Linked DNA regions of Rhinolophus ferrumequinum. The protein of the gene in region 3 purifies or fractionates together with the protein of the main gene of each other region. This does not show direct contact. Links are inferred from orthologs where the notes say so. Each region holds a gene or a part of one and is shown on either strand. Other genes may lie near its edges.

Region 1 (7,219 bases), on a different chromosome or scaffold from region 3:
AAAATGTCTGCACCACAACGTTAAAAGAGCCTGGATCCCTGAATGATGATGTAGAAAAGACTAACTCCTACTCCCCAACCCCCACCCACATAAATACATTACATAAACACATTTGACATAGATGAGACATAAGCTTCTGTATTAATACTTGAAGTCTGGGGATTGTTCATTACAGCAGTTAGCTTACCTTAATATAAATGATGTCACCAAGGTCTAAGAGCATCCATTCCATCCTGTCCCCAACCCCCATACCAGCCCCCAAGTACCTCTACCTACCTGGCAGGACGCTAATCAAAGTTTTCATTTTGTTTTTCTTATGGCCACTGGTTTGTAGGACTGGAGGCAGAGTAGATGGCTTGATTTTCTGCTTGGACTGCTGCCATGGAAGATAATCCTACCAAACATGACACAATCAGTCACACAGCCTGGTGGGTTCAGATCCCAGCTTACAGATATTTGTGGCCTTCAGCAAGTGACTTTACTTCTCTGAGCCTCAATTTTCTCATCGGTAAAGTGAATCTAATTAGAAAACCTACCTCGATAGGTTGGTGCAAGGATCCTGAGAGGTATTTGTAAAGCATGTAACAAGTGCTCCACAAATGTTGGCTATCATCCTTTTTATCAGCCAGCCAGAACTTACTAAGCACATCCAGGCTGTGAGAGGTGCAAAGAACTGTGAGAAACAGAAAGCGCAGAAAAGACCCAACAGGGAAGCAGAGTTGCAATCAGAGATAAATAAGAGAACAGCATAATATACCCTTACATTCTGATAAGGTGGTGAGAAAACTGAAGTTCAGAGGCATGCCCCGGGTCCCACAGCAAACGTGTGACACAGCAAGGCCTGGAATTCAGGTCTCCAGACTCTCTCACCCCGGAGGGTCACCACTGCCGGGGTGGAGGGCAGATGGACTCCAGGCCCAGGGTCAGGAAGTCCCCGGTCCCCGCCCTAGCCCTCCCATACTCACCGCAATCTGGGACTTGTGGATTGTGGAGCGACTCCCAAAGTGGCTGGGTCTGGAAGAGTGAGGGCAGGAAAGAACTTCCTTCATTCCCAACCCCTGGCGCTGCAAGCAGCAAACATGAAACAGTCCTGGGGTCTAGACCCCAAAACCACAATGCACTAGAAACACGATCCAAGCCAGTACCCAGAGAACAGGAGGGCGAGGCGGGGCTAGGGAGATGTGGGTGGAGAGAGGGCGGGGTCAAGAGACTGCGGGAGGACCGGCCAGAGAGGTTTGGGGGGGCGTGCACGCGCACCCCGCCACCCTGCAATGCTCCTTTTACCTACTTCGGAAAGACACGTGCCATTGGGGAAAACATAAGAAGAGTCGTGAGTCCGTGAGGCCCTGATCTCTTGGGATGCCTATTTATTCCACTTCTCCAACTTCCTTGTCTCAGAGTGGATCGCGCAGTAACCTCGGCCACTCAAACTTAACGAGGCCAGACGCTTCCTCGTGTCTCCGTCTCCAAGGAAACGGACGCAGACTACCGAGCGCCTAGAGGGACTAATCTCACAGGGCAAAATGTAGCTTTCTCCACATTCTTCTCAACTTGGTTTCAAATACCCCTCAGCTGGCCCCGCCCAACATCCTAAAGAATTATGTCATATTTCTCCTCTCATCAAACCCACATCACTTCCTTCCCCCTCCTTACTCTTGGCTAATTAATGACTGTGCTTCCTATTTCACTAAGACGGCCGTGGGGATCAGTAAACTCACAAGGTCACATCACCTCATTTATTTACCCACCTACTTGCCTCCCTCCTGTAACTATGTATAAACTGCCTACTAAGACTGATTCCTACAATTGTGCACTGAGTGCTATCCTCTCATCTTCACTAAGCTATTGCCCCAGCAATTCTCTCCTTTTTTCCCATCATCCTCTCCTCTGCATTACTCCCATCAGCATAACATGTTTTAATTTCTTCTCTTTTTAAAAAAGTGACTACTTCCCATCCAGCTTCCCTCCCATTTCGGCTTCACTTCACAGCAACACTCCTAGAGAGGTTTCCCTACTCTACTCATATTTCCCATTCCTTTCTGCCCCTTCAGTTAGGCTTTCACTCTCCACAGAAACTGCCCTTGTCAATGCCACCAGTGGCCTCCACTTAGCTAAAACGCATGGTCATCTCTCAGTCCTCATCTTACTTGGCCCATCTGCAGTATTTGACACAATGGACCACTCCGTCCTTGACACACTTCCTAAACGTGACATCCAGGAAGCCACGTTCCTACCTCCTTTTCTGGTTCATCCTCTTCTCCCTTTATTATCAGATTGCCCCAGGACTCAGATCTGGCCCCCTCTTTTTCTCTATCTGCTTTCACTCCATGTGCTCCCTTCTAATCTTGTGACTTCAGATGCCATCTCTACCCAGACACCTCCCAGACTTACATCTTGAGCCTCTCCCTTGAATTCTAGACACCTAAGTCCAATGCCTGTTAGCCATCTCCACTTGGGTACCTAGTAGGCAACTAAGATGCAATCTTTCCCCAGAAACATTTTTCCCCAACTCAAAATGACAACTCTTCCTGGAGTCATCCTTGATTTATCTTTTGACTCATCTCTGATCCCACATCCAAATCTGTCAGCAATACCTTTGGAGTACATCTAGTAGCAGACCACTTACTACCACCATCCACACATACATATACCCTGCTTTCCTCTCACGCCTGGATTACAGTCTTTGCTCCCACTATTGCCCGACTCCAGGTCTCTCTCCACACCCCATGTTGCTAGATAGAGCATACATTTAAAAGTGCATTCCAGTTTAATATAATTTGAAGGGAGCAAATAATTTGAAATCACCTAAAGTTCAATAGGAGAATGTTACTAAAGAATACTAGGTCAGAGCTCACAACTTTTCCTCCTCTTAAAAATCATAGGAAAATGTTTTAAAATTGCACTACACATTAAGGTAAACAGATGAGACTGTAATCAGCCTGGGGACTCTGGCCATCTTGGACTCGAGGACCCTCTTGGCTGCTCCTAGGGCTGAGGAAATCACCATGTGGGGCACCCCCATTTACAGAGCCCACTGTACCACAGCACTCCAGCAGGGGAGCTCTATACCAGGAAACAGTTAAAAAGTAGGAGGTAGTAATCAATATAGGGAAGACCCTGGTGGACACCTACCCCACAGCCATTTCTCCCCTCCACCCAGCTAACACCCCTGATCTTGTTCAGGTATGCTGGCTTTAGAGGAGGCAGGCCCCAGCCCCAGTCCCAGTTCCAGCTTCAAGCAGTCATGACTGGTCTGAGCTAGGCTTGGTGGGCCCATTTCCCTTGCCAGTTACAGGTTTAGTCATAAGGCATGTGATCAAAGTCTGGCCAAGGAGACAGGGTGAGAAGTCTATTCAGAGAATTTTGGGCAAGATTTTTATCACACTTAAAAAGAAAAAAAAGACATTGCAGAAAAACATTCCCTCATCTGCAGCTAGATACTGTCATATCTGTGTGACATTCCCGGAATTGTGGAACTGTGAGGGGAGTTACCTGGAGTAGAGGGGAAAGTGAAGGGAACCTGTTCCTTGATAGCATTGTTGAGCCATTAAATTAACAATTCTGTAACCTATCTAGAAAACCCGCTGTGGACCAAGCTCTTTAACACAAGTTATCTCTTTGAACCCCACATTAGTCATCTGAGAGTAGATATTAATATCCCTTTGTTATAGATGAGCAAATTGAGGCTATGAAAACTGAATTCATTGGCCCCCATGTGACAAGGCTGAGATTTGAAGCAGTCAGATTCAAACTAAGGTTGCCCTGACTCCACAATCCACCTTTTCTTTCACTAAAGTCAAAAAGGTCGCTGAAGCACCCTGAAATGCACAGATATGCTGAAAGAAAACAAAGCTGACAAAAGGTGGTATTAAACCCAAACTTTTTTTTTTTTTTTTTAAGATTTTATTGGGGAATGGGCACAGGACTTTATTGGGGAACAGTGTGCACTTCCAGGACTTTTTTCCAAGTCAAGTTGTTGTGCTTTCAGCTTCAAGTTGTTGTCCTTTCAGTCTTAGTTGTGGAGGGCACAGCTCAGGTCCAGGTCCAGTTGCCGTTGCTAGTTGCAGGGGGCAGAGCCCACCATCCCTTGCGGGAGTCGAACCGGCAACCTTGTGGTTGAGAGCCCGTGCTCCAACCAACAACTGAACCATCTGGGAGGCAGCTCAGCTCAAGGTGCTGTGTTCAATCTTAGTTGCAGGAGGCAGAGCCCACCATCCCTTGCAGGAGTCGAGGAATGGAACTGGCAACCTTGTGTAAATCCACCCAAATTTTATCACTGCTTCCAAAGCATCAGTTAAGACAGATGAGGGAGGAATAGAGATTCTGTCCAGTACTAACTTTAGCCAGGAATCTGTGTATTAAGGAGTTGTGTATTAAGGAGGTTTCCTGGAGAGTCTGAGACAACTAGTCCTTGATCCACGATGGCAGAAGCAAAGCGGTTTAATAAATATAAGCCACTTACATGTGGGGCTGCCTATTAACTCTGCCACTTGGCCAAATGATTTAAAACCATCTCCAAAACCATGCGTCCTGTAAAATGTGTAATTACAGCATTGTTTTGGAAGATCCCATGTGATAAAACTTGCAGAGCTTAGAACAGTAGGGCGCACTTAAGCCCTCAATATATTATAATTGTCATCATAAGTACCATGGAGATCTTTCTAAGAAACAATGCAATGACCTTAGAAATGTATCAAAAAATAACAATAAGGACTGATGGATATAGATGTGGTGAGATAAGGTATAGTAAAATGTTAATAATAAAAAGTTGAAATAGTAAAAAATTAAAGGGAAAATGTTCACTGTAAAATTCTTTCAACTTTCTGTATGCTTGAAAATGTTCATAATCCAACGTTGGGGAACAAATGCATTGTGGTGCACTTTAGGAGGAAGGAGAGCTAAGTTCTGTTCTTGTTTTTAACAAAAACGGTATGAAAAAGAAAAATGAGCGAGCTCTTCTCAACTCCGTCCCGCCTTTGGGCTGTGGGCCTTTAGTAATCCTGCTTAAATGAAATCATCGAGAACCGCTTGCGAAATACCAAATCCTCGAGAGCAAGGCCCAAGGCTGCCAAAGCCTCGCAAGGGACAGGGACGCGCTCCAAACTCCCCCATCCCGCGTCGGTGCCGAGGAGGCGGGGCTGGAGCGAGCCCTGGCGGAAACATGGCTCGTCCGTTACCAGGGGGTTCTCGGCCGACTCTGGCCGCCTGGCGCTGCGTGTAAATATTTTTTGGCAGGGCGGGGGAGAGAAGCATCAAATTTCTGGGGGGGTGGGGGAAACCCACCCAAACCCCACCGCCCTGGCGGGCGGGCGCGCGCGATGGGCGCACTTCGGCTGCGGGAGTGAGTGGAGGATGCTGGGAAGGAGGTAAAATGGCCACCGGCGGCGGCGCCGAGGAGGAAAGGAAGAGGGGGCGGCCGCAGCTCCTGCCAGCCACGCGCCCAGCAGCCCGGGCCGAGGAGGCCGAGGTCGGCCGCGAGAAGATGGGCTGGGCCCAGGTGGTGAAGAACTTGGCCGAGAAGAAGGGCGAGTTCCGCGAGTCACGACCGCCGCGGCGGGAGGAGGAAAGCGGCAGCGGCGCGGGCGGCGCACTAGGCGCCCCCGCGAGCCTGGCGGCGCCGGGCCTCAGTGACTTTCCCCCCGCGGGCCGCGGGGACCCGAAGGGCCGCCGGAGAGACCCGGCTGGCGAGGCGGCGGACCCCCGCAAGAAAAAGGGCGCAGCGGAGGCGAGCAAAAGAAAGAAGGCCGAGACGGCGGCCATGGCGTCCCCAGCCAGGTCCGGCGCAGCCGAGGACGAGGCAGAGCTGCCCCCCCAGGATGAACCGGTGGCGTCGGTGGGCCCAGCGGCCGGCCCGGGCAAGGGCCGCTTCCTCGTGCGCATCTGTTTCCAGGGAGACGAGGGCGCTTGCCCGACCCGGGACTTCGTGGTGGGCGCGCTCATCCTGCGCTCCATCGGCATGGACCCGAGCGACATCTACGCGGTCATCCAGATTCCCGGCAGCCGGGAGTTCGACGTGAGCTTCCGCTCGGCGGAGAAACTGGCCCTGTTCCTACGCGTCTACGAGGAGAAGCGCGAGCAGGAAGACTGCTGGGAGAACTTTGTGGTGCTGGGGCGGAGCAAGTCCAGCTTGAAGACGCTCTTCATCCTCTTCCGGAACGAGACCGTGGATGTGGAGGACATCGTGACCTGGCTCAAGCGCCACTGCGATGTGCTCGCCGTACCCGTGAAAGTGACCGACAGGTTTGGGATCTGGACCGGGGAGTACAAGTGCGAGATCGAGCTGCGCCAGGGGGAGGGCGGGGTCAGGCACCTGCCTGGAGCCTTCTTTCTGGGGGCCGAGCGGGGCTACAGCTGGTACAAGGGGCAGCCCAAGACGTGCTTTAAATGTGGTTCCCGGACCCACATGAGCGGCAGCTGCACGCAGGACAGGTGCTTCAGGTGCGGTGAGGAGGGGCACCTGAGCCCTTACTGCCGGAAAGGCATCGTGTGCAACCTCTGTGGAAAGCGAGGACACGCCTTTGCCCAGTGTCCCAAAGCAGTTCACAATTCCGTGGCAGCTCAGCTCACCGGCGTGGCCGGCCACTGAACACCCGCCTACCTGCCAGGGTGAACACAGAGCCAGCTTACCCCTCTTAAGTGCCAAAACTTTTTTTTAAACCTTTTTTAAAATCGCGTTTGAAGGAGATCTTTCTAAACCTACAAGAGACATCTCTCTCTGCCTTCTTAAACCGAGTTTACTCCATTTCAGCCTTTTCTGAATTGGTGACTTTCATCTGTAACGACTACCGAGACAGTAGTGTGGAGATGTGTCTCCCCTCCCGTTTTTTTTTTTGTTTGTTTGTTTGTTTTCTGTATTGGGGGACTTTTGTGTGTGTATTTGTTACTCCCCACGCCTTGTCTTCTCGAGTTTTCACCTTTTTAAGCTGCCTCGGGCTGCCTTGCTCATCTTTATGCCCCAGCACTAGGTACGGGGGCCCAACACATGATAAGCACTCCATCAGTGTTTTGTTGACTTAAGAACATTGTTGACTGTGGCTTTTTTAATATGCTGCTTCTAATCTGTGTGGTCTGAGAATTTGTAAAACCAGTGTTGTTAGAAGTGTATGTAATCTGAATCAATAAGCTCTGAATGGTGGCCAGGGGCCTGTCTTAGGCATTAAAACACATGGACTTTGTGATAGCTCTTTCAGTGGCTCAGAAGCCATTTTTCATAGAATCT
Region 2 (7,886 bases), on a different chromosome or scaffold from region 3:
GATAATTACAAACGTTGCAAAGACACCACTACCTGGAACACACCACTGTAGCTGTTAGCTTTTTCAGTTAGTGAAATTAAATATGATTATTCGTTTGTTTTGTGCTTCCCTAAGCCAAACTTGTATTTATTTTTTCTCACCGTCTCCACCAAATGTCCGTAAAATTAGAACATTTCAGCTACAGAAATCGCTAATCCTTCAAGGTCGGTCTCAGCTTCTTTGGTCTTAGGACAGCTTCAACGAAAATATTGGTCTCGGCATAGCTGATATTACCCGGAGTTTTTCGTTTGCTTTTTTTTGGAGGGGTTGTTTGGTTTTGCTTGTAACAATCCCGTGGACCACAAAGGGGGTTAGAAAAGGAGGGGGCTGAAAGAGTGGATTTCTCTAGAAGCCCAGGAAAATTCAGGCATCTAGAGACGTATTTTGCTGTTGTAATTTAAAAAGACGTATACATTCTAAGATGTTGGAAACGAAAGAAACGGTGTGACTTCAGCTACTTAGCATGGCGCAAACCCACGACCTCCGGGCGCTGGACGTTGGGGGAAGGGAAGGGAGTCTGCGGGCACCATGCGGTCAGCCCAAGGGGCGGGCTCCACACGCACACGCAGAACTATTTTCTACTCTTCCTTAGTCATCTCCCCTTTTCCTCTTTGGGGGTTGGGGGGCTCACAGTTAAAGGGCAGGAAAAATGAAAGCACTAAGAGGGGAACCCAACCTCAACCCTAAGCAACAACAGAACCAATGAGAGGGAGTAAAGGGTTATTTTCGCGCCACAAAAGATGGAAATCCAGGGGTGGCTAGCGGGCCAATGAATGGAAACCAGCAAACGGCTCCGGCGGAGGCAGCCGACGATGATAGGCTCCCTCCATCCACCAATCGGGTGAGAGTCGAAGACCCCCGCCCCCTCCCCAGCTAGGGGCGGTGTCTCTCTCCACGCCGGTTGCTCAACTTGGTTTCTGCGAATCGGCCCCCGTGCTGCACAAAACCCCGCCCCGGGGCCGCGTTTGCGCGCCCTGGGCGCCTGTCTCACTGTCCCGCCCCGCCCCGGGCAGAGGCGCTGGGTTCAGCGAGGGCTTCTTGCGGTCTTTTTCCTTGGGTACCAAACATTTCCCAGCGCAAGGGAGCCCCTCGCAAAGTCGAAACAGGCTGGGAGCCCGGGAGGTCTGCTAATCGCACGCTGCTTGATTCGCCCCCGCGGGCCACGGAGGAGGACCTCAGGTGGCGTCATACAGTGAGGGTAAAGATAGAGGCGCCCCCCGACCCCCAAGTCTAACCAGTCCACGCAGCTCCACGCGGACGGACAGAACCCGAAGCGGAGCCAGAAGGCGCCTGTCCCGCGGCAGAGCCAGGGCCGTGCAGTGTTCGAGGGCCTCCGAGGCTAGCCGGCGGCCGACGAAGGATCTTCCCCAGTGTGCGCTGCAAGGATCCCGCCCTCTTTCTCCCGGCAGAGCCAGGAGGAAAGGAAACAACCCCATCTTCTCATCTTCTGGGGCACCATTTTTTATTTTAAACAAAAATAACTGAAGGCAGGTTCAGAAGAGGGCAGAGCCAGGTTACTACTTATCACGCATCAGGTTTAAACATCAGAGCCCAGGAGAGCTGGTTGAAGGAGCAAGAATGATGTTAAAAATACGTCGTAGGAGGCCCAGGCGACGCGGCGAGCATTGCGTGCTCACCCGAGGACTTCGTCTCCCGCTTGTCCCCGAGGCAGCGGGAGTTAGGGGTAACAACGAGAATTTCCTTTCCCCCTCCTTTACCTGCTCAGCCTTCGGTCATTACCTGTGGATACCGCAACGGTAACCGACCTTCTAAAGAGCTTTTTTCTCCTTTAATATTACACTCACCCATAAACATTTTTATTGCCCTTCGGTCAGCAGATGAGGAGGTGCAGCTGTCCAAAGAGTAAACAGGCTGCAGTTGGAAAGACTCAGTCGCATCAGAGCACATACAATGGGTGGGAGTCCTTCGTGAAGTTAACATTAATTAGGAGCTGCAACTGTTTCAGGAAGAACTTGGAGTAGCCCATATACATAGTTAATTTCTTGTGGGAGATTCATTAAAAGATTGCGAGTTAGATTGACTTTATATTCATTTTTGAAAATCCACCAAAGTTATTTTTGCAGTTGAAATGCCAATAAAAAACAATTACCCATGCTCTTTTTACTCAGCCATTTAGTGTATACTTATCTCTCAGTGCTTGGAAGAATCGAAGTGGACTGTGTCCACCTCCCTTTTTGATGTGTGAGCTTATATAACTCGTGTATGTTTTTAAGGTCCTAGACGGAGTATCCAGTTTGTTACAATAATACACAGATTAAGTTCACAAGAGTCCTAGGAACATATTTCATCAAAACAGCACACACTTGTTTTAAATTCCAGCTGTTAGATTTGTTTGATAGTGACAGACAAGCATGGGCTAGTATTTATGGAAAATAAACAATTTATCCCATGCTTTGGAAGTAGATATTTCCTTTGGTCTCAGTTTTAATAGCAGCAAATTCAGTCAGCAATCCAGAAGGTACCATTCAACTGACTTTGGAAACAAGCTAAACATACAAAATTTGTTTTTATGAAAATCACTAAATGCTAAATTATCAGAAGACTCGTTTATAACATTTAAAGAAGTATTTAGAAAAACACAAATGAATGAAAAGCATATTTTTCCAAATAGTTTTTGAGCGCATGCAACAGGTCCATGAAAAATAAATTCACAATTTTTGATATTTTGAATACCACAGAAGTCATAAATACATATTTTTTTCTTTTTTAGAACCAAAGTTCTCTTTTTAAAAACATCAAAAGGAAACAAGCTCCTTTTAAAAGTTAAACCTAGCCATAAACTTAAATTTTCACCAAAATGTTCAAGATAGAGCTCACAAAACAATTCTAAACATTATACAAAAACACATTTGTCCTCTTTATCTGATAAAGTAAAAACATTTTCCTAAGTTAAACGTGAATGAAAATACTGTGAAAGTGAATTTACGTTTAAAAAGTTGGATTTGCTTGCCAGGAAAAAAACCTAGTAGAAAGAACAGTTGCATTTAAAATGGATGATCTGACACCTTCCGGTTCCTTAACACAAAATTACAAAATAAGTTTCTCTTAAAAGAAAAAAAACGTAAATACTATTTATATCATGTAATAATTCCCACATACTTAAAAAATCACCAATCATCTTTTTATTGGAAAATATACTTTTAAATGCCATGTACGGGTTTGACAAAGGGAAATTAACTATCAATTGTCATAATTACTTCAGCTATTTCAGTGTAAATCACAATAGTGTCTATTACACAACACATTTTCCTACTAGTAAGAGTACGAAGTGATTAAATAGTTTTGTATGTAATTCTATGCTATATAGAATTCCATTCACTTATTTAAAATAAGCATTTTGTTTTTCATGGAATACCTGTTAAAAATATACCACAAGTATCTGGTACAAGTGAAGCCTTTGAGTGGAGTAGACAATCATTAAACGACATTTGGAGATTTCCAGCACTGCGTTCATTTCCGTATTCCTCGTCTCCAGTCCACATTTTGTTGCCCAGGAAGGCTCCACCGGGCCCAGACCCTCCCCCTACACCCAGCATTGTACTCGTTACGTACAAGGGAAATTCTGAATGGTTCTCATGGCCAAATGCGGGCAGAAAAGAGGCAGAAAGAGACTCGAATAATTTTTCAAGTGCGAATAACACCTAGGGGTAACGCAGAGCGGTCTCTCTGTTTTAAGAGTCCCAAGTTCTCCAACTAAAATTATTTAAATGAAAGTACGAGCCTACCCCACTCCTCCTCCTCTGGAAACTACAGGAAGATATGGTTTCCGTTTAAATACCGACTTTTCCCACTCTGTCTTCTCTGCTCCGGCCTCCGGGGCCCCGGGACGCCCCTATCCCCACGCCAGAAACCGCCACCCTTGCGCTCCCCTCCCCCACTGTTGGCCAAGCCCGCCCCCGGCCTCATTTATCCCAGAGCCTTTTCTGAATCGCGCAACCAATGGCAATCGCGAAGCCGAGAGCCACTGCGAGCGCAGGCGGAGGCGGAGGAGGTGTCGCCCAGACACCCGCCCAGGACGCCGCGGGCTCCCATCCCCCACCGCCCAGGCTTGGGGGCCCCCCCCCCTTCCCCGGTGCCCCGGCCCGCGAAGGGTGCAGGGGTGGGGCGCCCCTGCCCGCCTCTCCCGCCCCTATCCACCCTACCCCCTCGCCGCGTTTCCGCCCCTGCCAGCTCTGGAAACGTGCTCGCGGCTTTGCCGAGGTTACACTTCTAATGTCATCCAAGCCACAAGGCGAGTTCGGAATTGTGACTCTTTGCTTTTGTTAATTACCTATTTTAAGAAATCGAATATTTAAAACTCCGGTAACTAGAGCTGAGGAATTGCCTAGTTAGTACCCACACCCCATCTCATTTAAAAAGGAAAAAAATCGATATTCCAACCCTACTCCCCTCCCCCTCAGGATCCGCCCCGACCGGATAACCCTTTCTAAACTCCGTGGTGACAATCAGCTCAAGCAGCCGCGCTCCCCTCGCTCGCCGGCTGCGGCTCCTTTAGCGTTTCCCCGGCTGCCTCCTCCCCTTTTCAGGGTCCCTCGCCCAATCTCCTTTCCCCTCCCCCTCTTCCTCTCGCTCGCTTTTTTTCCCCCGAAACCCACTCTAATTGAGGCGCTGGGATTCCTCACGTGAGACGTTGATTTGTAGTTTGAACACGTGGCTCATTCAAAAAGCCGGACACTCGGAGCGGATTTTTTCCGCCTCCTGCGCCTTCCTCCAACCCGATTCCCCTCCCTCCTGCCAGTCACTCTTGTGGGTTTTTTATGGGGAGGCGGCGCCTGCCCTCACGTAGTGTGATATTTTCACAGTCCTCCGGCCGAAGCTAAAGGGGTTGGGGAGGAAGAGACAAAAAGTAGTTTTCCCCCTCCTCCTTCTCTTCTCCTCCTTTTTCTCGCTAAGCCCGCCTCCTCCTCCGAGTTAGGAAGACTCGTTGATGCGTTTGGGTTCTAGCAAGGCTTTTCAATTTCTCTCTCTTTTTTTTAATACCTAGAAAAGGGAAAACAAGACTCCTCGGATCTGATTTTTCTGTCCTCGTTCTTATCCTTGGTTCTTACTGTGTTTGTGTTTTTAAACGGCGAGAAGACGAAGGGAACAAAACCCTCCGGGTCCATCCATCCCTGTGGGTGGTTTTAATTTTTCTTTTTTTCTCCTAATTCTTTTAAACAACCACTCTTCACAATGAACAAACTGTATATCGGAAACCTCAGCGAGAACGCCGTCCCCTCGGACCTGGAAAGTATCTTCAAGGACGCCAAGATCCCAGTGTCTGGCCCCTTCCTGGTGAAGACTGGCTACGCGTTCGTGGACTGTCCGGACGAGAGCTGGGCCCTCAAGGCCATCGAGGCGCTTTCAGGTGGGCCCCGGCCTGGCCCCGCCGGGCGCCTGCCCCAGCCCTGCGCCTCCGCCTGCCCGGGCCTGCCGGGGTTGAGGGCCCGGAGCCAGGCCCGCGGCTGCCGCCGGCTTGTTCACGCAGGGCTCCGGGCGAAGGCGCGGAGAGGGGCCGAGGCCCCGGCGCCACACGCGTGGGCTCCGGGGTGCTTCCTCAGCTGGGCTCCCACCCGGGCCCCCGTCGCTCCCCTCCCCCCGCCGGGGGTTTGCGGGCGCAGGGCGGACGCGCTGTCAAGAAAGCTCGGGCGCGGGCTCGGAGGAGGAGCGGGGGACCGTGGCGGGGCCCGGGGAGCGGCGCCAGCCGGCGCGGGACCCTCAGCGCTCGCCCCGCGCCCCGCCCGGGCCCAGGCGCGTGCTCGGGCTCCGGCACGCCGGGCCTCGGGGGCCGGCCGCGAACGCCTGCCTCTCCCTCCCTCCTTCCTCCCTCGCTCTGCTGCTTACTTATGGCATTGGAGTCGCTGCGCCGCTCCCGCCCCAGACCCCGGCAGTGGGGGAACGCGGAGTGGCCTCGACCCGGCTGCGGAGTGAGGCCCGCCGCGGGCTGGTGCTTCGCACCGGAGGCCCCGCGCTGCCTCTCCACACTGTGGGAGGCGGGTGAGTGCGACCTGGGTTCCATGCTCCGCCGTCCACGAGACAGGGGCAGGTGGACAGGGGCGGCCTGTGGTCGCTAGGTAGGGACCCGCTGTTCTCCGCACCCGGCCACCGGCTGCGGCCGCCGGGGGTTTCGGGACGCGATCTGCGAGGGCGGGGGACGGTGGGTAGGGGGGCAGCGGGCCCGGCCGCCCCCAGGGGAAGGCTGTGCTGGGGTCCCTCTGGGATCCCGGAGGCTTTCGGTGTGGTGGGCGCCGCGCTGTCCTTCGTGCGTTGTCCATTGGATACCGAAATGCACCTCCGGGCGTTCGCTCCTTCTGCACCCTCTCTACTGTCCTCGAGCCTTTTCCTCCGCTCCCTGTTCCCGGAGGGCCCGGGCGCCCCCTCCTGAAGAGAGCCAACACAGCCCCCTCTCCTAAGTTTGTCTTGTGTGTGTGTCCAGGGAGGTGGGCGGAGGGGCCGCGTCCATCCTGCGACTGTCGTGGGGTTGGGTGACCCCCCTCTGGTGGGCGGGGGAGCTCTGCCAGTGGGTAGACTGTGACTGAAGTAGCGGGGCCGCCAATCGACTCCCCTCCTCACCCATCTGTAAGTTACACACACAGCCGGGAGGGGGTCAGCTTCCCACCCGCGCGGTGCCGGGCTTCTCTCCCGGTCTTGAGTCGCGTCCGGATTCCGTTTGGGGGTCTCAGGAGGCCACTTGTGTCGCCGCTCAGAATGTGCAGGTCCTTTGGGCGCGGAGAGCCGCTAAACCCGGCCAACTGTCTTCCTCCTCTTGTGTGTCCGCAGGTAAAGTGGAACTGCACGGGAAACTCTTAGAAGTTGAGCATTCGGTCCCTAAAAGGCAAAGGTGAGCTCATTTATTCTGTTCTCGCCGATTCTGTTCTCATTCCAGTATTGGGAGGAAAGACTATCAACACAGCTGAAAACAACTTTTCCTCTTGTACTTATTGGGCGGCTGTATGGCGTGGCGTTTCTCGACTTTTTCTCTTGTATTTAAGTGTATGGCAGGTGTGTTTGCGTGGGTAATGCTGCAAAGGAAGAGAGGGCTTATGTGTGGCCTCTGCCACTGGAGTAGTGTTATTGGACTAAGTCTCTCGAGGAAGCTCTCCCATCTCAGTATTCTCTGGTAGAGGAGGGCAAGTTGCTTCATCAGGAAATCAGTCGGAGGGCAGTTTTTGGGAATCTGTAACTCTTGGGAAGCAATGGGTGACCCCTCCCCCACCACACCTATAAGTACAGGGTAGGCGAAAGCAGCTGTGGACACACACGAGTGTGTCCTGCCTTTCTTTCTCTGTCCTAAGCTGGCGGCGACCAGCCTGAGAGGCCAGCCCCAAGTCTGAGGGGAGAGGGAGTGCCTTTACCCTGTTAGCTGGCCAGCTGGGATTGGAACACGTGAGTGAACCTCTGGCCTTCTTCTGCCCAGAAGCGCCTTGCACGCACTCCGGAGGCAGACAGGTTTCTGCAAACCGGTCTTTGTCTCCCGCTTCTCTCCCCCATCCTTAAAAAAAATATTTTTGCTTACGAATTACCACCAAGAGATCGTGGAGACTAAAGATTTGTGCTACTTCAGCAAAGGGATTGCACTTTGCAGAGAGCATGTGTCGTGTGTCATTTTATAGAATGTTTGGAGGCTGTGTTTTAACCTCTAGAGTAATTGGGAGAAATGGCTCTTTTCTCAAGAGCAGGCCAGATCCCTGCTCTGTAACTCTAATTGGAAAGGTGCTGCACCCTCCCAGTGGTGCTAGGGCTGGCCTATGCCTTTCTGGGTTTCACAAGGTGGGGTTAAGGTTCCTGCCCTTTCCCTTCCCATCTCCCCACTCCTAACCTGGGCCAAACAATAACGGGGAAGTTAA
Region 3 (6,922 bases):
CCATAGTCTTTTTGTTTGCACATATCTTGTTCCAATGGTAAAATGAGGATAACACCAGTGATGATAGCAACATACTAGAACTGTGCAAGCAATGGGAGCTTTGGAGTCAAATATGTGAGTTCAAATTTGCCTCTGCCATGTGTTAGCTGAGCTACATTAGGCAAGCTGTACTGATTCATTGAGCTTCAGATCCCTCTCCTGCGTGGTGGCAATATTAATACTTATTACTTAGAGTTACTGACAGCCTTGAACAAGACAAAAGTGCCTGATTCTCGATAAATAATAACTGTTATTATTACCTATCAGAGTATAAACTTCACAAAGGTGGGATTTTTGTATGGTCTATTGATGTAGTCCCAACATTTAGAATAATACCTGCCACAGAGGAAGTACTCAATAAATATTTTTAAAATGTTGGATAAGTAACATTATTGCTAAGACCTCTTTCAGCTCTTCCTTTTATAAAGAGATGAATCTACACAAGAGGAACTTGGCCACAAAACAAAGTACACCTTTGTTTTGTCTAAAGAGCCTTTTTTATTCTCTTTTACCTAGATCTTATTACTCCCAGAAACCAATGCACAAGACATTTGCAATACTTAGCTCTATCAGGTCTTGTCTCCCTAACTAGACTGTAACTCTTGGAAGGCAGGGACTGTTTCTTCCATACATTTTGGGGGGTACATTTTTGGTCATCATACAATTTATACATATTACTTATCTAATTCCTCCACCAAACTTGTGAACTAGCTTAATGACTGGATTACAGTAGGTACCTAACAAGTTTTCACTGAGACAAGGATCCAAATAGTAAGATTTGGTCAGGAGTCTCCATCTCCCACAGGGAAACAACTCATTGGGAATGAGTTGTTGGGAGCCATATCTTCCTCCCTAAAGAACCCTCTGCCTCCTTGTACATTTGCAACCTTATGAGGACCTGATCCCCTCCTGAGTTTGTATTGTTAGACTCGAGAGAGGCAGCCTAGGAGAATAAGTTTTATGACTATTGTAAGAATGTTTATCGTTTCAATTAAAGCCTATTCAGAAAATGCTTCTCAGGTATCCTCTGTGAGCCAGGCACTGTACTAGGTACTGGTAAGGATGTGGGGAAAGATGCAGAAAGAAATAACACATGCATGGTCCCAGTCCTCAGGAAGCAAATGATCCAAGAGGTTCTAGATTATAGAGACAAGCAAGTGCTCAATAACTATAATAATAGCAATAATTCACATTATTAAGGTGTAACTCTATGTCAGACACGATTTTAAAAGTTTTACCTACAGAATCTACTTTTATCCTCATAATAATTCTGAGAGTAAAATATTTTCATTATCTCCACTGGACAACTGAGGCATCTAGAGATTAAAGAACTTGCCCCAAGCCGCAGAGCTGTAAATAGTAGAGCTGATAGCCAAACATGGGCAAGCTGACTTTAATGCCTGTGCTCCTATGAAAAATGATAATAATTAGGGAAATAATTTGAAAACAGATATTAGTCTCTCTTCAACTCTAGTTTTCTTTGAATCAGAAAATGTCTCCTCTTTCTTCACCCTCTATGGCCACATGTATAGTTATATCCCTTTTGCTGAAGGGGGCTTGAGATCCCTACACTGCTCTAATAGAATCATGTATTGCTGGAAATACCCTCTGTTTAGCGTTCAAGCGAATCCTTTCATTTGTTTCAAGTGTGTCAGGGTAACTGGGGGTTTGAGAAGAATCAGGTTTTTTGGGAAGGACTTGGAGGTGGGAACTCAAGAAGACATTGTCAAAGCTGGGAGCTGGGTCCAGGGGAGCGTGCCTTTATTCAGCACCGTGGACAGAGCTCCCAGAGTCCTCAGGACCCTGGACAGAGAAGCTGGTCAAGCCTGCCGGAGGGAACAAATCTCACTTGAGAGCAGCTCAAGCGAAACCAGAGCGCTAAACATCCTTTTCCCTCGCTTCTTCAGCTAGACCTCAGTCACTTGAATTCAGTCATTCCTGAATCTTCGGGACAGAGGTACAGGGAGTGAATATATTTTTAAGGGCGCTAATAACGGGAGGGTGATAAGACTCTTAGGTGGGGAGGATTATACACATTTAAATGGCTTTGGTGGTTGTTCTCGGGGAACTCTTGCAAAACCTAAATTAGGGTCCTCAGTTGGGAGTAGTGATTACTAATGATATTTGTTAATGATAAGTATTTTTTAGGCTGAGTGGCAAAGGGCTACAGTTCTTATTATCACCCATCGCCCGTCCCTCGTCCCTTACACTCAAGTTTCAGTCTCCTGGAGAGCACTACATGTAGGAAAGAGAATCTCCACAGCCCCTTGCTCTCCTCACCATCTTCCCCTTCCCTACCCCCACTCCTCTCCTTTCTCTTTCTCAAATACACACGTAAGCGCGCAGAGTGAAAAGCACGAGACGTTCTGCACACTTGATGGAGAAGATTGAATTCAGAGCAAGCAGATGCCCCCGAAAGCAGGCTCTGTCCCTTTAAATGGGTTGTAACAGTGGGGGAGGGGAACTGGCCGGAGCTGGCATTGTCCAGTTTGAACTGAGCACCGGAAGTGAAGGGGCAGGGCCAGGGCCGTGCACTGAGCCCCGGGCCATTGTCCATCTCCGACCAGGGCACTAGCCACCCCCCTGACCAACACTCTTTATCTCCTAGAAGGGAAGGCTGCCTCAAAATGAGGAGATCCCCGACTCCAGTTCTCTCACCAACCCCACTGCGGGGAGAGAAGCACACTTTAGGATGGGACTCTGAAACTGAGGGTCTGGGAACCTGAGTGTCTGGAGCACTGAAGGAAATGCCTGGACCCACCTACCCACCTAGCCCCTCTCCCTGAAACGGATAGGGACAGGATGGGGATAAGGGCAGGATAAAGACAGCTGGTGGAGAGAGGAACACACGTCAAGCCTCTTTGGGTTCCTCCTGCTCTCACAGAAAGCTCCACATGGGGTCAATTTTAGACACAGATTTGGAAGGAAAGAAGGAAGGCTTCTTTACACAGTCAATTAGGAGCGCTTTGAGAGGTCCAGAAAAACTCAGTCGGTGACTCAGGGAGGCAGAGACATTCAGTTAGAGATAGACTTTGAGAGACAACGCCTTGGTCTGGACTGGAGATCAGCCCTGTCGGGTCTCCAGCCTCCCCCCTGCTTCCCATCGCAGGCTTCCTAGTGTCCTGAACTCCAGGTCTATCTAAGCACACGAGGGTGGGGGGTGAGAGCGGGTCAGCGCGGAGCAGCCGGGTCAGCTCCGAGGCCTGTAGGGGAAGGGAGGGGGAGGGGCGCTCAAGAGCTGGGGGAGGGGGAGGGATCATCCATTTCTCCCTTGACAGGTGGTTTGTGTCTCTGATTGGCCAGCGCTGCCAGGCTCACACCTCCCTCCCCCAACTCTCTGGAATGTATAATTATCTGCGCGGGGGGTGGGGGTGGTGTGTGAGTGTGTGTGGGAGCAGTCACATGGTTTTAAAACTAACCCCCTACAAGCCCCCCACCTGTATGCTGCTTTGGGGACCCCCAATGAGTCCTTAAAGTGCAGGATCCCAAATCCAGGGGTACTCAAGACTTCTAGGGCTGACGGGCTCCATCTCCAGTTGTGCTCGTGGGGAGGGGGTGTCAAACCTCAAGGTTCTGAGAAGGGACACCCCAGAGGTGTCAGAGACTGCAGTAGTGGGGGAGGGCAGGAGCTGGAGCCGGAGGGGAAGGGAGGGGAAAGAAGAGGGAGGCGAGGGGAGGGGGCTGCCCGCGGGGGGTTGGGTCATTGTCTTTTAGAATTTGGGAGCCTTTGAAAAGCCGTGGGCCCTCCCACCGCTATTGTGCTGGGGAAGATGTAGCAGCCTCTTCTCCGAGCCACCCCTTTGCCTCCCGACTTCTCTGGGGCCAGCAGCCACCCGACCTGGGGCCCGGGCCGCGGGCTTAGCCGACTACCATGGGCTCTGTGTCAAACCAGCAGTTTGCAGGTTCGAGCTCGGGACTTATTGGGGACACCCTAAGCTGCAGGGTCGCCCAGGAGCCACATAAATGGGAGGTGGGAAAGTGTCCCCCAGGCTGGCCGAAGGCCCCCAAGTCTGCGGCCTCCTGCTTCAGGGGGCCATCTGTGGAGTAAAGAACCCTGGTGTCCCAGCGGCGTGCACACCAAGGCTACGAGGGCTGGGGGAGAGAAGAGGAGGGGCCTGTCCGGCGGTCTGTCCCCGGGCAACGTGTTGTGGGAAGAGGAGCAAAACTTTCGGGGCACCACTGGCCTCTCAGTGTAAGCTTGGGGAGCGCGGGAGGCAGCCGGGACAGGTCTTTTAATCGCCGGCTGCTTAGTAGTTGCAGCCTCTTGGGTGTTCAGCCGCGGGCTGGACACTCGGGTCTCCCTGCCGGGCCTCAGAGGGTCCTCCAATTCCGTGGCCCCCCAGCTGAGCGCCCTCCCAATCTCCAGGTGGCTGCGCCAAGGCGCCGGAAGAGGCGCCGGAGGACGCGGCCCGGGCGGCAGAGGAGCCGCAGCTGCTACACGGTGCCGGCATCTGCAAGTGGTTCAACGTGCGCATGGGGTTCGGCTTCCTGTCCATGACCGCCCGCGCCGGGGTCGCACTCGATCCTCCGGTGGATGTCTTTGTGCACCAGGTGAGATCGATTCTGGTAACTTTGGCGGGGAAGGGGGTGTTGGCGCGCGCATCCAAGGGTGGGCGGACGGACTCGGCTATTGGATTGAGGGAGATCGAGAGCCCTCATTGTGCGTTCCCATCTTTGTGGTGGCACCCCAGTTCTGGTCCCCGTTAACTCCACGGGGAGGAGAGTGTGGGGCAGAGCCGCTGATCAGCACCTCCCACCCGCTTCGGGGAACCCCTCTGACTTACCACGTGTCTGTTACCTTTTTCCCCTATGAAAGGGGGCAGGGGCAGGGAGGTGACCCCATGTGGCAGAAACTAAGGTTGTATTGTGCTTGCCGCTGGGGGGAGGGCGAGCAGGCCGGCCAGGGAAGCACATGCTGGGCCATAGCAGGGCCCTGAGCGCCCAGCGCCTTTCTGTAACATGTGAATGGAGCTGGGGGGCGGGAGAGGGAAGGAAAACTCTCTGGGATCCAACGAGGGTAAAGCTGAGGTCAGCCGGGTCTCCTCACCCAGGTGGTCACCCGAAACTCAAAACTCAAGCCCTGGGGCCTATGTGGGTTTGGCAGATCCTTGAAGGATCTATTTGGGGGCTTGAAATTCCTCCAAGGTACGGATCTCAGGCACTCAGTTGGCTGGGCTTCTGCTGTCCAGTTCCTACCAGGAAGGAAAACCTAAGGAGCCCAGGCCTTAGATTCCTGGGCCAGGCTGGGAACGAGTTAGGTGGCAACACCAAGTTCTCAGTTAAAGCAAGGCAGCACAGTGGGGGTGAAATTCAGTGTCGCAGGGCAGGGGGTGGAGGGAGGTTAGCCTCTGGACCTACTCTCCTCAGCTTGCCATTTATGGCCCCAGACAGCCATTCATTGCGGTCCTAACATTCCGGGCCTCAAACAAGGAGCCAGAAGACTTCAGGTTTCCCTGGCCTCCCCTTACCTCTCACCCCTTCCTGAATGTCTTGAAAGCATTCCGGTGGTCCTGGGACACCAGCCACCCATAACAACCACGTAAAGGAAGTCACTGCCTGTGTTTCCTCCACTGTTGGAGTTTTAGGGTTGGGCCTGGGAAGAAAATTACTAATCCCAGGCCGAGTAGGTTGGCACCCAGGCCGGGCAGGGAGGGGTTACTTCGGGAGGTTGGCTTTAGGATCCATGGGGGAGGGGAAAGGAGGATGTGGGGATTAAGGGTTGGAGCCTGAGGGATGGTATTCTGGAGGGGGAGGGGTAGTGAAGGGAGATGCTGGGTGGACTGGCTGGGGGCCCTCAGTGAGGACCTAGAGTGGGGGAAACCAGGGAGATAGATTGTGCAAGAAGATGGCGAACCCCACAGTTAGTGTTGGGGACTTGGTGTCACTGAGCTTCTTGAACATCTGCCAGGAGGGCCTGCAGCAGGAGGATGCTCACCTACCTACCCCACTAGTTGCACCCGGTCTCACCCCCTCCATCAACTAGTTCTGGCTGGTGACTTTGCCCCCTTTCCTCTCTCATTTACATATGTGAATGATAACCCACAGGAAGTAATTCTGGGAGAAAGAAGGGAATTGGCCTCTTTAGATCTATTAAATCACTTTATTACAGGAACCAGCTTTGAATGGCCCTCCTCAGCAGGGTGGCCAGCTCCCCCTTTCTCCCATTTATTTGATCACAGAGATTAAAATCTCTCCTTGTCTGGAGATGGACTGGACAGCTTCCCCAACTTTGGGAGATTTGGAATAAGTGAGACCCAACATTTTCTTTCCTCCATTCCTAAGGTTGCTAAATAGGGAGGGGCTGAGGGGAAGGAAGCTTCTCATCACCTGGGGTTCCTTGGTGATGTGGGGAAGGAAGAAACTTGAACCTCAAGATTTCTTTAAGCTGGTCTAATAATCAAATAGACATTAGATTAGCAAGAGAGAAAAACCAAATTTAATACATACATATGTATGGGAACTCCGCATACATGAGACAGATACCTCACACGCACAGGAGGTTCAGAGATAGAAGGGAACAGGAGTATATAAGACATCCTTAGCTAGGGATGAGGTAAGGTACTTTGGGGGCTTCAGAGGGTCATTGCAGGAATATAAGAGCAGATGTTTAGTAAATGGAAGATTGTCCTGCTCTATAGGTAGATTAAAAGAAGTTATCTCTGATAATCTCTTATTATAAGCCAGGCCCCTACTTCAAGTTCTTCTAGGTAGTTAAGGGAGGGGCAGATGTCTCTTTTGAGGCCCCAGCTAAACTTGCCTTTATCTATATGAAACAATCCACGTACCACAGAACCACATCTTGGGGTGGCTAGTTCTGAACCCCCACAGTGATAACCAAATCCCAATAGCAAGTTGATCTGTGCCTCACTGTACTTAACCTTAG
Region 4 (7,822 bases), on a different chromosome or scaffold from region 3:
GGTACCTCTTGCTTTCTGGCTAGTATTGGCTCCAGGGCCCTGGTGGGGACATGGCTACTCACCCTTCCTCCTCTTCCTCCTCCTCCTCCTCCTCATCTCCCTCCTCCTCATAGCGTTTGTTGAGGATATAATCCCGTAGGAACTGCTCCCCTTCATCCAGTTCTGGGTTGTTCCAATATTCCTTGAGGTGAGTCTGGGGGGTGAAGCAGTGACAGGACCCACGTTATAGCCTCGGACACAGGGAAGGAAGGCAAACATGCGTACTAAGTGGATTCAAGTGACAAACTTCACAGCCAGCCTGTAAAGTAGATGGGAGGCAGTATCCCCATTTCATAGATGTAAAAACAGGCCCAGAGATGGGTGCACCCTATCTCCAGAGTATGTGTTCTTAGCTACCCTTTCAAGGGTTGGTTTCTGGAAAAAGGTTGGTTAGAGGCGGGAAAGGCACTACAGTCCTTCAACGACTACGTGTGGAAACTCACCAGCTCTCTCAGGGTCTCAAGGTTCTGAATCTCCTTTTGCCCCTTCAGCCATTCGACATAGTCAGCATGGTCCTGGGCCTAGGGGAAGGCCAGCGCTCAGGGTCTGCAGGAACCCCAGCGCCTGCTCCCTGCCACGAGCCTGGGTCTAGCAGAGCCCCAGCACTCACCTTCTCCTCCTTGGTTTTGGCACGTTTTTGCAGCAACCCAGAGCCACCTTCTCCAGCACTGTTCTCATCCTCACTGTCCTCCATGAATGCCCGGAAGCTGCTCACACAAGAGAACAAGTCTCAGGAGAGGTCGGCTGGCCCCTGCCCACTGCCCCAAGATTAACCCTGTTCACAAGCTCAGAGTACTTCTAAGACGTAGAGGGCCTTATCAAGCCCATTTAACAGATCAGGAAACTGAGGTATGGAAAGAACAAGTAACATGCCCAAGAACACAGAGCCATTAAGCAACAGAACAGGATTTGAACCCAGGCCTGTTCAACCCCAGAGCCTCAAATGCTATCCATTTGGGCACTTGCCCCGCCAGCTCACCTTTCCTTGAGCTGTTGCTGCTCCTCCACGAAACTTTTTGATGAAACCTGCTGCAGAGAGGATGCTGTGGGCCTCAGGCTCAGCCTCGGGCCCCTCAGCCCACACCCGGCCTCCACCCCACCCACCTGGAGTCTCTGATTGGAGGTCTCCCCATCTGAATTCTCCTCGTCGACATATTTGCTGTGCAAGGAAGGGTGGGGGCTTCAAAACAGACTCCCCACAGCCTGTCCATCCCAGCGGGGTGAGGATGCTTATGAGTAGCAGGTAGAAGAGCCAGTGGGGTACAGGCAGTTACCAAGGGGCCTGCTCGCTGGGGTTCCCTCAATTCTGGTGAGTCACTGGCTTCTTCCCACCCCTGTCCCTAAGCTCCCCATGTGTCTGACTGTTTTGGGAAGATGGGATAGGGGGTGGTATGTGTTAAGCCTTCTCCTCACCCTTCTTTCTCCAACATAACCTTCCTCTCGTAGTCCTTCAGGTACATGGGCCGCACCTTCTTTTGCTTCTCGGCTGCCAGCTCCTCCTCGCTCTCCGAGGACGTTGCTGCAGGGCCACCAGAAGACACCTGCCATCACTCACAACCCCCTTCCTTCCCAGGGAGAGAATCCCACTGGGCTGGGCTAGGTCAGGTAGAGGCTTAAAAGCCACCAGTTCCCTGCTATACAACAGGTATCACACCAGCTACCTCCTGGCAGTAAGTACCTGGTGGTGATCATTCAGTGAGTAACTCATGCTCTGAACAGTACCAAGCACACCTAAGACCCTCTGCTAAGCACTTTTGACATAAAATGATTCCTTATATAGTCACAACAAACGATAAGGCAATGAGGAACCTGGGCCTTGGGAAGGAGCAGCCTCAGACCTGTTCTCTGGTAGAAGGTGGCATCTTTCTGATAAATGCGGGGGTCCTTTTTCTTCAACAAGGAGAGAGTCCTGTAAAAGTCATGCTCCTGTTGGGGGTCAAATTCCTAGGGCAGAAAAAGGATCGGTGAGAGACTTCAAGGGGGGGGCAGTAAAGAACCGGGGCAGTTGAATTAAGAAGGTGTTGGAATTAGGGTGGTGGGGGGGGTATACATTAGGAGGAAGGGGGATGCCACTGGAGAAGCCAGTGTGGCTGGGTGAAAGTGGGAGAAGGGAGGGCAGGCCACACCTAAGTACAGGGTAAGAGACAGAAGTAGGTAGTGGGGCAAAGGGAGGGTACTTCCTGGGACAAGAGATTGACATGGGGAAGGTGGGCAGAGAGAGCACATAGTGAACAACAGGAGGGGCTGGGCTGCACAGTGAGGTGGGAAGATGCAGTAGATGTGGGGAGCAACCCCATGAGGCAGAGATGTACCACTTCCGGGACAGAGTAGGACACAGAAATGGTTAGATTCTTGGAAGAGTAAATGGAGGACAAAGGGGTCGCACAAAATACATCAGTATGTGCAGATGGACACTTGGCCGGGGAGGGGGACGAGGGGGATTTGGCAACCCCCTGGGGAAGGGAAGGGCGCTATCCCTCATGGGATTGGGGACGGGGTTAACCGCTCTGGCAGGAAGCAATGGAGTCGGGGGTTAGCCACCCCCTGTAGTAGGGGTCAGGATGCGGTGGGGGGCTTGAAAGCCTCCCGCACGTCCGGGAGCGGGATGAGGAAGCTCACAACGCGCTCGTCGCTGGAGTCTGACTCGGAGCTGGAGTCGTCGCCGCCGTCTCGGCCCTGGTAGCGATCTTTCACTGCGGGGCACAGACGGGAGCCCCCCTGAATCAGCCTGGGGGGATCAGATCAACACCCCCACTTCCCGACGACCTGCAGCGCCGGCGCTATGCGCGCATGCGCCCTGCACTCACGTCGCTGCAGCTCCTCGCGTTCCCGGTAGCGGCTATACCGCGCGGCGAACGCTGCGTTCACCCGCAAGGGTGACGGCCCGCGCGACTCCGGCATGGCGGCTCTGCGGCCCATTGCGCACGCGTACCGCGAGCACCGCCCCTCACAAGGAGGCAGGTCTGCTCTTGGCCCCGCCCAAACGCGAGCTTTAAAGAGGGCGGAGACTCGCGGGCAGCGCTTAACCCCACCCCTGGTTTTTCCGGGATTCCTTACGCCCCTTGACCGCAGCCCCCGCCCACGGATTACGCCTCAACGGGGAAGGCTGCTGCCACCGCCCACCCCACCCAACCCCCGGAGCTCCGGCACCCAGCTGACATCTGGGGGCCCTTTCTCCACTCGCGGTTTCCTGCCTCCCTTCCGTTCCGACAGCGCAAACCGCTGCTCCACCTAGCGCACTCCACCGTGGTGCCCTGACAATTACCACTCTCTCCCCTTCCCCGAAGCATCCATGAGCCACGACCCCCGTGCCCACCGCCCCCACAAACATCCTGGACGTGCGACTCTCCATCGCAGACTCAAAAATCAGAAGCCACCAGCGCTGTGATCATGCACAAGTCTTAATTTAATGGGTAAAAACATTAAATTATCACACACAACTTTTTTCCATAAAGCTTAATAAATAGAATCTTTTTCTTAACATTGTACAAGAGACTGGAAAACAAAATATGAACTCATGCTACCCTTTTATTCATTTGGAACTCCCCCCTCCCCCCATGCTTGAAAGCAGTGTGCACACTTGAGGTCTCTGGGTACAGCCAGCCAAAGTCGCCAGGTTCCAGGAGCCCTGGAAGCGATGACCTCACTCTGGGGCTGAAGCTTTAAACGCTCTGCCCTTGGGACTCATCTGCAGCCCCAGCAGTATGGGGCTTGAAGAAAACTGAACCGTTTAGGTGGCTGTTGACTGCTGGAGCCCTTCTCTGCCCAACACACCAAAAGGGGTGAGAAAAACAAATGAGAAATGCCCCGTAAACACACACCCCCCAGAAATCAACACCAATAAGCCACAAACTGGTGCCCCTCCACCTTTGGCAGTGGGCAGGAGGAGCAAGAAGAGAAAGTGTTTCTTTCCTCCTTTACTGACATAAAACCCAGCTGGGTCCTGTTGCTGGAGTGGGTGGCCCCAGGTCACAGCGGTGCCACCGTGTGCCGTTGCAGTATGTCCATGAGATCCTGAGCCCCTCTTCTCCGTGCCAGCTCAAGGGGTGTGAGCCCCCTTGCATCCCTATGATGAAGATCAGACTCAGCAGCTAGGAAGCTGACCACAGCTCTGTGGCCCTCTAGCACTGCCAGATGGATAGGGAGCGCCCCAGTGTCATCAGGTGCATTGACATCAGCACCATGCTCTACCAAAACCTTCAGGGTGTCGAGGAATCCAGTGCGGGCTGCATCATGGGCTGGAGTGGTGCCAGAGGCATCCTGGACATTGGGGCTGGCACCTTGCTTCAGGAGCTCCAGGGCGATGGTGGGGCTGCCAAACATCATGACCTGTGCGAGGGCAGAGTGTAGGGGGTCCTTAAGGGAGGGATTCCAGGAAAAGGGGTCACTGGAGAGAGGGGTCATTCACAAATAGGGAACAGCAGAGAAGAGGTCCTCTGGAGAATGAGGAAAGCCCAGGGAACACAAGTCCTTGAGGGCAGCTGTTTGAGACCCTAGAGAACAAGGTCTCTTAAGGAATAGGGACCCCCAAGAAACTGGTCACTCCCCTAAAGATAAAACATCCCCCTAGGGAATAGCCCCTGTAGGAATTTTCAAGGAACCTTAGAAGCTCCCCCAAGGAACCAGAGAACACCCCTCAGAGAAGGGAAATTACCAGGAAATATAAACCCCCCTCCAGGAAATTGGCCTCATAGAATGAGAACCGTTTCCCCAAAGAACTTGACAGCCCCCTCACGGGAAAGGAGAAACCCCTTCTCAAAGGGATAGCCCCTCCCATATAATCAGAATGCACCCCTGAGCACCTGACCCCACAAGAAATGGGGTTCCCTTATAAAATGACTCGCACGGAATGAGGACTACCATGCAATCTGTAACTGTTCCTCCATTGGAACCTCACATAATATACCAGAAATCTGAAAAAAGCCAGGGATGGAGATTCCTGTCACCCCCGCCCCGCAAAGAAACTGGATACCTCTCAGATAATCCCTTCTTCCATCGATGGAATCCCCCCATAGAAGCCCAAAGAAACCAGAGCCGTCCCATGAAACCGGGATCCAAAGAAGTTGAACCCTCACTCATGGAATAAGAACCTCCCCAGGGAAACCGAATCCCCGGCGCCCAGAGAACAAGGAATACTCCAGAGACAGAAAAACTTCCCCTCCCCCATCCTAACACCATCCACCACCCACCTACGAAAGGGGACCTCAGGGAGCAACGTCAGCCCAGAGATGGAGGACCGGATCCCAATTAGCCACCACTGGGGCCAGATTATGGGATCCCAGTTCTCGCTGCCCGCCGGCCTGGCCTCACCTGTAGTGCCGTCTTGCCGAAGCGGTTCAGGACGTCGGGATGCACCAGCTCGCGGTGCAGAAGGCGGCGCACCTCCTGCACGTCGCCCCGGGCCGCGGCCCCGCTCAGCAGGTCGCCGGCGCGGACCTCCTCCAGCAGCATATCGACACTGGCGGCCTGCGAAGCCCCCCGCCCCACCCCAACGCGGTCAGTACGGGACAAACCACGGATGCTGGCCCGAACAACCCTCCGGCGGCGCGCCCGGCCTGAGCCAGGGTACTGGCCCGGCTTGCCAGTCGGAGGCTCCGGTGCGACCCCTGCCCTCCAGGCGGGCTCCTCCCCTCTGTCAGCCGGTGGGTCGCGAGGGGCTGGGAGCTGGGCCCAACCCTCCGCCACCCGCAGTGCCCAACCCGGCGCCCGCCCCTTGGGGGCTGGGTCTCCCCCCAACTCACCCTCCCTCCTCCTCGACGGGCGGGGTCTCTTCTGAGCCAGTGCGGCCGATGCGGCCGCCTAGCCGACAGCCGGGAGGAGGAGCCAGCGTGCTCGAGGCCCCGCCCCCTAACGCCACGGATTTGTTTTCTTATGAACTCGCTACATAGTAGCCCAGCCGCGTTGCCCGGGGCGCGACCTTGCGGCGCCCCGCCCACACATCCAGCGTAGCCAATGGCGACTCGTCGCCGAGGAAGTTTTGCGCTTCGGTGTGGGCGGTGCCGCTCCTGATTGGTCGAGAGGCGGCGACCGGTGGACCGCCGGCAACGGCGGGGTTTTCGGTTTTTCAAACGCGCCTGGCGCGCGGGAAAGAGGGCCGGTTTAACTGACCCAGGGGAGAAAGGTCAAGGGGTATGGTAGCGCGGGCTGCTCCAGGACCTCTGCACCTCCGAGGGAAAGGGAGGCAGGACTGGGGTTGCCCAGTCCAGGGTTCCACCATTCACTCGGTGATAAGCATTTATTCTCCCTTACGAGGCGCGGAGCGTTTTTTCATTCACCCACCGTCAGCAGGAACCGTTACCGGCGCTGGGGAGCGCACATTCAAGCACCTAAATAATTTAAGATACCGTTAAACACCGTGAAGAAAATAAAACGGGAAAATGAGAGTGGGTGAAAGAAGGAATCATGTTCTGGCTCAGACTGAGCTAGCCCTGGCACAGCAAGTGTAAAGGCGAAGAGGAAAGTTCATGCTGCAGCTGCCACGTGGTTGAGCCTGGGAGGTGATTCTTACAGAGGTCTTCATTCGAACATTTACTGAACACCTACTGTGTACTAGACGCCCAACTGTTAAGCGAGCCGAGCAGCACCTGCGTCTGGGGCGTCTACGTTTAGGGCGAAAGAAGACAACAATTAAGTCCTTTCAGAGTGGTAAACGCTAAGGAGCTGATAAAACGGAGTAAGTGGTAGTCTCTTGGGAAAGGAAGGCCATTGAAATAGAGTTTAGGGAGGGCCACCCTGAGTTGGTGACATTGATTTGATACCTGAAGGTACGGGAAGAAGCCATGTGGATATCTAAGGAAAAGCATGCCAGGTGAAGGGTACTACAAATGCAAAGGCCCTGTTGTGTCCAGGAAGAGCGACGTAAAGAGAAGGTTGTGGAATGGGACTGCAGATCAGGCTTGTGGGCTGCAGGGAGGACTTGACTTTTAACAAAATGGGAACTATGGGAGGGTGTGAGCAGAGGAGCCAGGATCTGACTTAGAAGTCATAGCGCCCTCTGGCGGCTATGAGGGGAATTGACTGTGGTGGGGGAGGGAAGTCCGGAGCCAAGGGTCGGAGGTGAAGGCAGCTGGGCGAGCCCAGATGACCTATCACCAGGGCTGAGGAATAGATTTGTTGTTCACTCCCATCCCAGCAATTCAGTCCCTAGCATCCCCAGTCCCCGGCCAAGAAACATACACAGTGGCTAAATTCATCTTTTTAATGCCATTCTAAAACGTAGAGGGGTGGGCCTCTGGGCTCAGCAGCTGTGAAGGAGAAGGGGCTCCAATACCCCCTAAGACAGGTTACTGGCAAGAAGGCACTTTTGAGGGGGCCTTCAAGCCCCTCCTCTCTTTCTTCATATAAAAGTGGAAGTGGGGAGTCCGAAGGCAGAAGGAGGTAGGGAGACCATCCCTCCCAGCCTCTGGGTAAAGGACAAGGCCGGGAGGAGGCCAGGTGCTGGGAGCAGGAAGCAAGAAACTGCTAAGCCAACCAGGGCCTGCTCACATACACCCTCCCCACATCCCCTCCCTCCCTTCCTCTAAAGTGTGCAGTCAAGGACTAAGGGGAGGGAGGCCCATGTTCACGCTCCCACCTCTTCTCCCTTCTAGCTGGTACGAAGCTGATAATCTGCAAGGAAACAATGGGCAGGGCCTGATTCAGAACTGGAGAAAGGGAACAGAGGGACAGTCCCCGCCCTTCCCCAGCCCAAGTGCCCATGAGCAACCAACCCTGTGAGGATGTAACAAAATTAAGGATGGGGTCAAATATAGGAACTGTAACCACAGCAACAAGCCTATTTCTA

The links.
Region 1: the proteins of LIN28A (region 3) and ZCCHC3 purify together in Homo sapiens (co-immunoprecipitation; 3 studies listed by BioGRID and IntAct, with this or other methods). This does not show direct contact. The link is inferred for Rhinolophus ferrumequinum from reciprocal best matches to the Homo sapiens genes LIN28A and ZCCHC3.
Region 2: the proteins of LIN28A (region 3) and IGF2BP3 purify together in Homo sapiens (affinity purification with mass spectrometry; 4 studies listed by BioGRID and IntAct, with this or other methods). This does not show direct contact. The link is inferred for Rhinolophus ferrumequinum from reciprocal best matches to the Homo sapiens genes LIN28A and IGF2BP3.
Region 4: the proteins of LIN28A (region 3) and KRI1 purify together in Homo sapiens (affinity purification with mass spectrometry; 3 studies listed by BioGRID and IntAct, with this or other methods). This does not show direct contact. The link is inferred for Rhinolophus ferrumequinum from reciprocal best matches to the Homo sapiens genes LIN28A and KRI1.

What each region holds. Positions count from the first base shown.
Region 1 is NC_046306.1:23,262,178-23,269,396, forward strand, and holds the start of ZCCHC3 (zinc finger CCHC domain-containing protein 3), read left to right. Parts: upstream 1-4,210; 5' UTR 4,211-5,371; coding exon 5,372-6,586; 3' UTR 6,587-7,219. Other genes in the region: C23H20orf96 (uncharacterized protein C20orf96 homolog), read right to left, coding at 277-394, 966-1,049.
Region 2 is NC_046303.1:17,191,663-17,199,548, forward strand, and holds the start of IGF2BP3 (insulin-like growth factor 2 mRNA-binding protein 3), read left to right. Parts: upstream 1-4,883; 5' UTR 4,884-5,232; coding exon 5,233-5,407; intron 5,408-6,819; coding exon 6,820-6,880; intron 6,881-7,886. UniProt on the Homo sapiens protein: RNA-binding factor that may recruit target transcripts to cytoplasmic protein-RNA complexes (mRNPs). This transcript 'caging' into mRNPs allows mRNA transport and transient storage.
Region 3 is NC_046292.1:18,088,822-18,095,743, forward strand, and holds the start of LIN28A (protein lin-28 homolog A), read left to right. Parts: upstream 1-3,910; coding exon 3,911-3,941; intron 3,942-4,405; coding exon 4,406-4,590; intron 4,591-6,922. UniProt on the Homo sapiens protein: RNA-binding protein that inhibits processing of pre-let-7 miRNAs and regulates translation of mRNAs that control developmental timing, pluripotency and metabolism.
Region 4 is NC_046301.1:39,742,215-39,750,036, reverse strand, and holds the start of KRI1 (protein KRI1 homolog), read right to left. Parts: upstream 3,005-7,822; 5' UTR 2,959-3,004; coding exon 2,847-2,958; intron 2,733-2,846; coding exon 2,659-2,732; intron 1,984-2,658; coding exon 1,878-1,983; intron 1,559-1,877; coding exon 1,453-1,558; intron 1,199-1,452; coding exon 1,144-1,198; intron 1,069-1,143; coding exon 1,019-1,068; intron 747-1,018; coding exon 650-746; intron 561-649; coding exon 483-560; intron 194-482; coding exon 63-193; intron 1-62. Other genes in the region: CDKN2D (cyclin-dependent kinase 4 inhibitor D), read right to left, coding at 4,009-4,368, 5,350-5,490; AP1M2 (AP-1 complex subunit mu-2), read right to left, coding at 7,625-7,647.